2 linked regions of the Mus musculus genome follow. The protein of the gene in region 2 purifies or fractionates together with the protein of the main gene of each other region. This does not show direct contact. Links are inferred from orthologs where the notes say so. Each region holds a gene or a part of one and is shown on either strand. Other genes may lie near its edges.

Region 1 (4,294 bases), on a different chromosome or scaffold from region 2:
TGGAACTTGTTATATAGGCTAGGCTAGCCTGCCTCTGCCTCTGGAGTGCTAGGATTAAAGGTGTCAGCACCCCTGGCTCCTACAAACTTTTAAAATGAAGTTAAACATCAGGCCATCGAACATACAGAAAAGACCACTTTGTATAGTGTTACCAAAAATACTTTTGTGAGACAAGCCTCTTACCTCGGACTGGTTTCACACCCTTTTCTGAGAGTTTCTAAAATATTGCCATTTGAGTTCAGCCAAGCAAAAACTCAATCTTTTCCAATACTGCCAAGTCATGATCCATGGCTCACAGAGGCACTGCCTGAGATCTTTCCACTTTAACGAGGGGGAACCTGGATAAGCACAGAGCCGTAAAAACTGTAGAGCCATGGACTGTGAAATAAAAGCTACAGAAGAGACACAAATCTTTCAGTTCTGCATCTTGTCTTTAGTCTCCCTCACGGACATGGTCAATTAGCTTTACAGAGCTTTTAAGTCATGGGGAAATAACCTTGGATTTGGGCAAAATAAAATTGATCTTTCCATTTTAACCTTGTTACAAATTCTACTGGCGTAGAACAAAGGGCAGCCCTTCTTCCACAACACTGCTCTTTCTCCCCATCCAGGAAACCAGGCAGCTGCTGACTAAGCCAGGCTGCTGCTCTCAGAAGCCCTGGGAAGGTGGAACAGGTATTTCTATATTATTAGTTGGACTCTGGGATGATTTCAACTCTCAGTCGAAACTTTTACCAAAAAAAGAAGTTTTTTTTTTCTTTTAAATAATGGAAGAGTGTCTAGGAAAGAAAAAGTCCGGGCTCCTCTTCCGAACATAAATTGTTAGTAAATAAAACACTGTTGCCTCCTCGGGTGCACCTGCAGGGAGTCACAGTCACCAACCAGCCTGGCCTTTACAGACCGGGCTGGGCTGGACGGGGTGGCCCTACGTGGCGACTGAGCCCCGAGGCGGGGGGATGGCCAAACCTCGAGGCACAGCCGGACCTGACTGGGGTCGAGACCACCCTAAGTTGCGCGGGGACCCAAGCTACACAAAAAAAGGTTTCTATCGTGGGAAACCTCAGAGCCACAACCGCGGAGTCTCGGCTCGGCGGCGGCTTGGCTCCCCGAGCTCAGGGAGAGGCACCATATGGGATGACAGGCACGGGCCAGGCAGCAGGAAGGGTGGTGGGAAAGAGGCAAGGGGAGCCGCAGTGTCGGGAGCCTCCTGGCGCGGTCCAGATGAGCAGTTAGATCACGCGTGGCCCACAGAGAAGCACCGTGGACATAGCCGGCCCGGCCCCGCCCCGAGAGAGGACTAGGCAGGCGCCATAGTGCCTGAACGCATAAACTCAGAGCGAGCCGGGCTATCGCGAGACCGCGAAGGCCTCTGGGAAGGACGGAGTTGGGGGGGGGAAGGGAAGGGAAGGAAGCTGGGACAGGCAGGAGGCGGGCCGAGACCACGAGTGGAGCCCCAGGAAGTGGAGGGCGGAGAAGCGTGAGATCGACGTGCATGCGAGCCAATGACAAGAGAAGTTGGGAGGGCCTGCGGCCAATAAGCGGTGGCTGCCCGGTACAAGGGGCGGGCTCCGGGGCCGAGGGTAGCTTGAGCGCGGCGGCGGCGTTGTTCAGTCAGAGCGAGAACATTCCAGAGGTGAGTCCGCGGGGGGCGGTGGCCCGCGCCCCTGCCCTGCGCTCCCGCCCCTCCACCCCGCGGGCCGCCGGCGGGGGCAGGCGCCGCCCGCCGCTCACTGCCTTGTCCCCGCCAGGTCGCCAGGCTCGGCGCTGCTGGTGTGGACGCGGACGTCGCTGGGACAGTCCCTCCCGCTGCTCGGCGGCGGCACCTGCCCAGCCGCCCCTCCGCTCGCCGCCGGCCCCGCCGCTCCGGACCCGGTTTCCAGCGCCTCTTCCTCCCAGTCCCGGGCGAGCCGCGTTGGGTTTATGTCTTTATTTGACGAAAACGGTGAGTCGCGGGCGGCGGGCCATGGCGGCGGCAAGATGGCGGCGCGGCCGCGTGACCCGCCGCGCGTGTGGCGCAGTTTGGGGGGGGCCGGGCCGTGCGGGAGCGCGCCCGCGCGCGCGCCGTGGCTGAGTCAGGCCCGGGGCGCGTTTGTGACTCAGGGAGGCCGCACCTCTGCCCCGCCGGCCGCCGGAAGGGGGAGGCCGGGCGACGGGCTGCGACCGTCGCGTAGCCATGGGGACGAGGGCGAAGGTCGGCCGTGCGCCGAGGGAGCGAGGGGAGGGAGCCCGGGCGCGGCTTCGGCCGTGGTCCTCGTGCTCCGACGGAGCCAATGGCTCCCAGCCTGGACTTGCCGCCCTGAAGCCCCCGGAGTCGCCGAAGCCGCCCCTCGGCGGTTGGCAGGTCCGGCTCGACGTTTCCCGTTTTACCACGATGGCAGCCGGGGGAGGCGCCATCGGCGAAGTTGGTGGCCCCCGGGCCTGAAGTGAGGGAGAGAAAGGGCCCGGATCCCCTTTTCGGCAGTTACAACGCTGTCGCTCGGCCGGGGCAACCCATGACTCGCCGGTGGCCTTTGATGTGACAATCTCCCGGCGGCTGAGGGAGCAGGGTTTGTGTTCCGTGTTGTCCTCCTCGTTTCGAGCAGTTTCCCTGCCAGTCACAACCCGTGTCAAAATGGTGGCCTCCTGGGTTCCTGGAGTTGTGCTTTGTTACATGGGGATGTCAGCTGTTTTCTCACAAGGACTCGGGCTGTTAGAGCTCGGAGTGTTAGTTGTGTGAGGGACTCGGGGACGGGAAGTTGTCCCGGGGAGGAGTGATGCTAAACCTGTAGGGTTGTTGTGTGTTTTCTCCTTTTCTCTTTCAGAGCTGTTGCGCAGCCATTGGTACCTGTATTGGGGAAACATAGCATACAAGCAAGAAGCTTACAGCCTCAGTGGCGAAAATTTTTTCATGTCAGAGACCGAGAACTCTTGCAGTCGTTTATGTCATCCCTTCTTCTCCAGACAGAAGATACCAAAAAGTTGCAATCAAAGATCTCTTCATCTTATTGATAAAGTCACTAATAAGCCAAAATGTCTGTCAACGTCAACCGCAGCGTGTCAGACCAGTTCTATCGCTACAAGATGCCCCGTTTGATTGCTAAGGTAATGCTGGTTTTTATTTTAGTAGCCTGTTGGTCCGCACACTCTTGATAGGTTTTGAAAGATTACATTTCACAGGGAAGACAGTGCAAAATTGAAATTCTTATTTCCTTTAGGTTGAGGGCAAAGGAAATGGAATCAAGACAGTTATAGTCAACATGGTTGACGTTGCAAAGGCGCTTAATCGGCCTCCAACGTGTAAGTAAAGCTTGGAGAAGCCTGAAAAGGTATATTATGGCTATAGTTTTTACAGTCTTTGAGCTATACATCTTTCCTCAATCATGTTAATTAGCAAGTTGGAACTGCGGACCTACTTGATTGGGTGTCATTAAGCCACCCTGGCTGTATTTCAGTTTCCCTGTAATTTTAACACGGTGAGTTTTTGTATATTCACGTGCAACCAGTGCTTTAGTTAACTATAATGGAATGTCTTGTCTTTATACAGATCCCACCAAATATTTTGGTTGTGAGCTGGGAGCACAGACCCAGTTTGATGTTAAGAATGACCGTTACATTGTCAATGGATCTCATGAGGCGAATAAGCTGCAAGACATGTTGGATGGATTCATTAAAAAATTTGTTCTCTGTCCTGAGTGTGAGAATCCTGAAACAGATCTGGTGAGTGCCTTTTAGGTTTTTTTTCAAGACTATCATGAAGAAAATTGGGTTAAATTAGTACTTTAGATGTCTTCTGGCACTTTTATAATGTAACAAAAACTTCTATCCACTTTTCCTTTTTGGCTGTAGATGACACTTGTTTTTACTTTCCTTAATAGCATGTCAATCCAAAGAAGCAAACAATAGGTAATTCTTGTAAAGCCTGTGGGTACCGAGGCATGCTTGACACACATCATAAACTCTGTACATTCATTCTCAAAAACCCACCTGGTAAGTCTTTTTAATAAATTGACTAGTAGAATAAAAGAAGATTTTTTTTTCTGTTGTTGCTATATAAGAATACACTATGAGCTCATAAGTGAATTTTATTGTTTGTTTGTGCATGGGGTTTTTGAAGACAGGATTTTTCTGTAGCTCTGGCTATCCCAGACCTCTGAATCAGGCTGCCCTCTGCATCTAAAAGGGATTAAAGGCATTCACCACCATGCCTAGCTCTGGACTTTGTGACTTTGACTGTAAGACATTGGAAAATGTCCTGTTTTATGTAGCAATAAGGGTGAAAAATGGCTGCTAAACCAGATGTCTGTTGTTAAGAGTC
Region 2 (6,678 bases):
CTCCCGGCCCCAAAGGGAGACCCAGAAAATAAGCAGGACAAAGTGCATTTGGAGTCTGTTTACTGAAGCTTTCTGTCTGTCCTGAGGGGCTGGACAACAGCAGCAGGTAGCAGATGTCTTATTAATTCGTTGATGGCCTGGAAAGAGGGAGGGAAAGAGGTGGTAAGGATGCTGGTGGGGACTTGTGATCCTGAAGGGGATCGGAGAGAGACTGCACTCACATCAGGGAACCCTTGGCCTGGTCTGCTCAGGACCTTCCTCCAGACAGGCCTGGCAACCACAGGACTGGGCTAGGGAGAAGGTGGAAAGGGGCAGGAGGGTCCTTACTTGGCCCACTCGACATTGAGGATAAGATGGTCGTAGCCAAAACCAGACACCCCTGCAATGGCACGTGCAGCATCCTCCCGGCGGTGAAAGCTGATAAAAGCAAAACCCTGCGGGCCAGGGGCAGACATGGAGGTGTAAGAAGTGGGTCAAGGGATGCCTACTCCAGCTACCCACTCCACTCCTCAGACCAGCTCACCCACCTTGGACTGCCCAGTAGTCTTGTCCTTGGCCAAGTAGATTCGGGAGATGGAGCCGAAAGGCCGGAAGAGTTCCTGCAAGTCAGTCTCACGAGTGTCCTCGGACAGGTTAGTGACACGGATGGTGGCATTGTCGTCAGCTTTGTGGGCAGGGCAGGGGGAGATGGCAGTGAGAAGGGTGCCACCGCTGGACCCCACGCCCACACTGCAGGAGTACTCACAGCCCTTGCCTCCGGGGGCGGGCCTCCCACCTCCTCACCTCTGCGGTTTGGCTGCATGGACTCCCCACGGCGGCTGGCCCCGTCCCGGAGGCTGGGGGGCACATACTTCCCTGTCTTGCTCTGGGCGGCCTGCACGGGCTCCAGCTCTGGAAAGCAGCAGACGGAAGGATTATTCTGCCCCAGCCCCCAGGTACAGACACCCAGTCATCCTTTGGTGACCCAAACATCACATCTAGGAAGCTACCACTCTTCAAAGTCTCTGCTAGTGTCACGAGCAAAGTGAACAAGCCACAGGGCAGACACAACAAAGCCAGCACTGCAGAGCCCCAGCGCTGGACACCACCAGCCCGGCAGCATCCCGACTACAGGCACACAACAGTGAGGATGTCCCTAGGCCACTCATCCATGACAGTGAGAAGCAAAGTTCCATACAAGTCACAAGAGGCAGCCACCCCCACAGGACACATTAGATTATGGCCACACTGAGCCCAGCACATACATGGTGGATGTTGCCTGAGTATATACGTGTATACACACACACACACACACTGCGTATATATGTACACACACACACACACACATACACACACACACACACAGAGTATATATGTACACGCACGCATGCACGCACGCATACCCAAGTTAGAGTAAGCTATCAGTCACACATCAGGATGACCATGCCCGAAGCCACTCAAACTTGGCCACAGGTAATGCAGGGAAGAGAAGAGCACACTACCACAGAACAGCTGAGACCCTCCCAGGTCCCCACGTCCACACCTCCTGGCAGTTTCTCCTTCTCCCCAGTAGACAGGCCGAGCTGCTCAGCCAGCTCCTTCTGCATGGGTCCTAGTGTGTCCTTGTAGGGGCAACGGGTGGTCCAATGGTCGCCCTTGCAAATGCGGCAGGACACAATCTTCTGGCCCTTAAGCTTGTTCATTGGGTCCTCCTCCTCCTGACAGTTTAGGTCCTGGTGGGGTATAGGGAGGGAAGGCTCAGAGGAGGCTGCTGGGCCCGGCCCACACCACCCCCACTGCATTTCTCAGGCTCCAGCTTCACCCAGCTCACCTCTTTGCTAGTGATGAATGTCATAGAGACGTCATCACTGACTGTGGTAGTGGCCACATTGGGCCCCGGTGGGTCAAACTCCGAGTTGCCAAACTTCTTCCAATTCTGGGCTCCCAGAAAACAATGGGGAGAAGTGAGGAAAAGACAGGAAGGATCCTGCAGTGGGTACCCCAGACAGACAACCATTCCGGGGCCTTGAATCCGAAGATCTAGTCTCTCTAGAGGCCTTCCCTGTGGTAATGGTGACAATCCCCATTCCCTAAGCTAAACACAGTGGCACACAACTGTCACCCCAACACTTGCCAGGTGCAAACAGGAGGACCTCAAGACACGCAAGCTCAAAACCAGCCTGAGTTATCTGAGGTAGGTGCTGGTAAGGTAGCTCGTGTGAAAACGTGCAGTACACTTTCTAACACTCATATAAAAGGTTAAGTACATGCTGGGCATGGTGGCGCACGCTTTTAATCCCAGCCCTTGGGAGGGAGGCAGAGGCAGGCAGATTTCTGAGTTCGAGGCCAGCCTGGTCTACAGAGTGAGTTCCAGGACAGCTAGGGCTATACAGAGAAACCCTGTCTTGAGAAAAAAAAAAAAAAAAAAGGTTGAGTACAGGGCTCCACTGTGCCGCTGGCAGTTTCTGGGCTGCTCCATGGCCAGCCTCCCACCAGGGACAAAGGAGGAATCACCCAGACCTTAGGAACCGAGCCAGTTAAACCTGAAACTCATTTCCTGCCTGTAAAACAGGGGCCACAAAGCTCCCTGCCTCCCTAAGCTGGCCTGGAGCCTGAGAAGCTGTGTCTTGCTGAACGCTGGCACGGGACCTTGCTCTCAAGCGTCGCTGTCCCTCCTCTACAAGCCCTCCCCCCTAGGTAAGTAGAGGCTGCTTGCTTCTTCATGTAGACAGGTCAAAGGAGAGAGAATGGAGGTCAGGATGCAGGAGGCTGAGGCAGAAGCATTTAGAATGAAGACCAGAGCTAGAGCCTCTCAAAAATAACAAGCCAGCAAATGGTGGCAATGCCTTTAATCCTAATGCATGTGGATCTATGAGTTCAAGGTCAGCCTAGACCACAGAGTGAGTTCAGAACAGCTAGGGCTACACAGAGAAACCCTGTCTGGAAAAACAAACTACAAACAATAAAACCCAAGAGGGCTGGGTATGTCTCAGTACAGTGTCTGTCACACAAGTGTCCGTCAGACTCTGACCCCGAGCACCCACAGTCAAACACTGTGCACAGAGGCAAACTTGCATTCCCGGTGCAGGCCAGACAGGAAGTGGGGACAGCAGGGTCCCTGGGGCTGTTAGTGCCCAGCAAGCCTAGTCTAGTTCCTAATACCGAGAGACCAGCTCAAACCAAAAGTATGCTGTGCCATGTGCTGGGGGGGATGATGCTGCGCACATCCGCACACAAAAGGAGAACAATAAAAAAACAAAAGTAAATGAATAAATAAAGCATCTAACTTCATCTACTCCTGGGCCCTAACCTTTCAAGGCCTAACACTAAACGTTTACTCCACATCAACAAAAAGGGGCTTCCCAACTCCTCAGGATCAGCCCCAGAGAACACCCTACCCCCCAAATGAGGTAGAATCTCACCTTCCTCCTTGCCACAGCCTTTGATGCCTTCCGGGTCTCAATCCTGAAGGTTCTGACAATCTGAAGATGAATAAGAGAGGAGTGCTTCCAGAGCCTCAGGCCCTGTCTCAGCCACTGACACCCCTCCACCTGAACCCCTGAACACAAAGGCACTGGCCCTATGTGTCCACTTCGACCTCACCTTGAATTTCTTCCCATCTTCCTCTATCTTGTACTCAGTCACTGTCTTTATGTTCCCATTGATGACTTCCTTGGGAGGTGGCAGCGGGTCTGGAGGAAGATGACAGAAACTGATTCCCGGGTAATGGGGACTGGCTGGAAAGTAGGCTTGAGAGTCGGAAGGGAAGAGGAAGCAGGCAGGGATGGACACTGCTCACCTCCGGGCAGTAACTCGGGCTCTGGACTGGTGTCCCCGGTGGGCAGAGGGATTCCTTTCAGGAGCTCGCTGGTGACACATTTGTCTGCCAGAGGGAATTCGGGGAGGAAGGTAGAGTGAGCCACGGGACGGGAACTTTCAAGTCAGAGAGAGAGTGTGTGTGTGTGTGTGTTGTGTGTTTGCGGGTTGCACCGGGGGCACAGCGCAGGGCGAGGGTGGGGCTGGCCACGCGCGGCCCTAGCCGGAGCGTGGGCCCCGGGAACAGGCAGCGGGCGCGGCCACGCTCGGCACTCACCGTCCTCTCCCTCCTCCTCCACCTGGTCGGCCCAGCTGGGCTTCGAGCTGCGGGGACAGGAGATTGGTGAGCGGGTCCCGGCCCCCCGCGCCGCCCAGACCCCCACGCACCCCAGAGCAGCCCCCACGCGGCCTCCCCGGCGACCCCATCGCCACCCCACGCATACTCAAAGTCGCCAGTCGGCATCTCGAAGTCTTAACTCCACGCAGCTCCCAGCCCGGGTAAAGACAGGAAGCCGGAGTAGAAGAGGCTTCCGGTGCCGCGGCCGCAGCCTAGAGCGGCCAGACCGCGGTGAGCACAGCGCCTCCCTGCGGACAAAGGTGGACACGCGGCTCTCGCGCACCGCAAAGCGCTGAGATCCAACCTGGAAAAGGGGTCCAAAAAAAAGCTTCAAAGAACTTTTTAAACTTTTTTTTTCCCCCTTTGGGTAATGGGGCTAGACGTGAGTGTCTCACTCTATAGATAGGATAGCCTCACAATCCTGTCTCAACTCCAAAAGGCTGAAAGTACAGGCTCACGAGCAGTATTCCCAGGGTGGCCTTGAATTCATAGCTGTCTTTCCACCTTACTCTCGTCCGTGCTGGGAATATGAACATGAAATCGCCACACCCGGAACTGATTCGTTCTCTCCCTCTTCCCGGAGAATTAGTTTTCAGCCATCAGTAATCGCAGTGCTGGAGGTGGAAGCTGGAAAATTATGAGTTAAAGGCCATTTTCAGCTACCTCGTGGATTCCAGACTAGCCTGCGCTCCATGCGACTCTGTCTCCAAAACTAAAGGTGTCTTGCTTTGTTCCCCAGGCTTGCCCCTGAACTCCTAAACGCAAGGAATTCACAAATAGCTGGGGCTATAATTGTGTGCCAACAAGCTTGGCTGAAAAGCACGTGTATCAAGAATGCCCTCGCCCCACATCGTTTAGAGGATACCAGGATTCTGGTTTGTTGAAGAAGAAACAGACTCAGACCAAACCCTTTTGTCCTGTGCTAAGACGTCCTTTCTTTGAATAAGAGGCCACCTGGTCTCCTGTGCCTCCTTTGCTGTGTAGCATGCTAGGGTTTATCCTACAACCTTGTTGTGCGTTTGTATTATTTGAAGACAGCATGCTTGTGCATACATAGCACACATGGAGGTCAGGGGACACTTTGCAGACAGTCTCTCCTTCCACTATGTGGGTCTTGGGATTGATCTCAGGCCTTCAGGCTTGGCAGCCAGCCTCCTGCTGTGGTCCAGGAGTCCCCTCACAGACCACACGAGCCCCAGTCTCAGTCAGAGAGAGGCACTTTATTGAGCATACATGTCAGGACTGGTTAACCAGGGCCACAGTCCAGATTCAGGACCTGAACTGTGACCCTGACTTAAGATCCTGCAGGGTTTTTAAGCCTCAAATCCACAAACATCTGGGCCAAGTCACATCACCAATCAGGATTCAGAAATGGGGGGTTTACCTGGGAACATGGTTTTGCCTTACACGTATCCTGCTCCCATTGGTTGGGTATTCAACGGTGGCAAGAGACTTTCCTTGTTGAACATTCATGTCTCAATGTGCCAACCAGGTTGTCAGTTACCCACGCACATGTCTTTCTGCCAAGTAGGATGCCAGTTTCCAGGGAGGTCTTGGGAACTTAAACTTTACTCAGTCATTACTCAAAATGGAAGTCTTATTCCAAAGGGTTTCTTATATTGGTGCAGTTCTCTCTCTCATCTATTTATTTTATTTATATAAACTTGAGCTGTCTGAAGACACACCAGAAGAGGGCATCAAATCCTATTACAGATGGTTGTGAGCCACCATGTGGTTGCTGGGAATTGAACTCAGGACCTCTAGAAGAGCTCTTAACCACTGAGCCATCTCTCCAGGCCAGAGATTTCTCTCTTATGTTGGAGTCCATCCCAGGGACAGCTTATACAGACAAATACCATAAAAATTTATATATGGCTAGTAAGTGCTGCTGGGTGGTTGGTTCAGGTCAAAGCTTATTATGGGTAACTATTCAAAAAAGTTCTACTAACTTCTATCATGATTGGTTTCCAAGGGCACAGGGCATAACAGAATATGTAATCAGTTTTGGCATTAGAAAGTTTCCTAGTAACAGCAGAAACATATGAGAAAGTTTCCTTATAATGGTAGGCTAGCCAAGTAGGCTACCTAGGCCTTGACATTTTATCTAGGCCTTAATATTTTACCTAGGTCCCAGTACCTCCTTAGCTGCAAAAACGTTGCAAGCTCTATTCCTGCCACCTTAAACTCTCTCCAGTGCTAAGCTCCTGTCAAGTAAGTGGAGGTTATATCAGATTCTCTGCCGTAGGAACATCCACTCCAAGTCCATGTGTCTGTTTGGGATGCTGGTGGGGAACGGAAAGCAGGGAGTTGGGCACACTAATACTGACCTATACTCCTAACACTTAGAACTTGTATCTTAAGCTGGCAAGATGGCTCAGTGGGTGAAGGCACTCTCCACAAGCCTGCTGCCTGGAGTTCAACCCTAGGACCCATCTGAGGGAAGGAGAGGACTAACTCTAGCAGGTTGTACCCTGAGCCCCACACTTATGCTGTGGCCTGTTCTCACACACTGCATCGTAGTGGGACCCCTGTAGAATCAGAGGATC

Evidence for each region.
Region 1: the proteins of Eif3g (region 2) and Eif5 purify together in Homo sapiens (affinity purification with western blotting; 3 studies listed by BioGRID and IntAct, with this or other methods). This does not show direct contact. The link is inferred for Mus musculus from reciprocal best matches to the Homo sapiens genes EIF3G and EIF5.

What each region holds. Positions count from the first base shown.
Region 1 is NC_000078.6:111,536,607-111,540,900, forward strand, and holds the start of Eif5 (eukaryotic translation initiation factor 5), read left to right. Parts: upstream 1-1,494; 5' UTR 1,495-1,633; intron 1,634-1,748; 5' UTR 1,749-1,942; intron 1,943-2,801; 5' UTR 2,802-3,009; coding exon 3,010-3,081; intron 3,082-3,194; coding exon 3,195-3,276; intron 3,277-3,523; coding exon 3,524-3,696; intron 3,697-3,854; coding exon 3,855-3,966; intron 3,967-4,294.
Region 2 is NC_000075.6:20,894,306-20,900,983, forward strand, and holds Eif3g (eukaryotic translation initiation factor 3 subunit G), read right to left. Parts: upstream 4,286-6,678; 5' UTR 4,259-4,285; coding exon 4,239-4,258; intron 4,120-4,238; coding exon 4,073-4,119; intron 3,863-4,072; coding exon 3,779-3,862; intron 3,672-3,778; coding exon 3,583-3,671; intron 3,462-3,582; coding exon 3,402-3,461; intron 1,916-3,401; coding exon 1,811-1,915; intron 1,713-1,810; coding exon 1,523-1,712; intron 892-1,522; coding exon 784-891; intron 665-783; coding exon 528-664; intron 435-527; coding exon 328-434; intron 138-327; coding exon 122-137; 3' UTR 44-121; downstream 1-43. UniProt on the Homo sapiens protein: RNA-binding component of the eukaryotic translation initiation factor 3 (eIF-3) complex, which is required for several steps in the initiation of protein synthesis.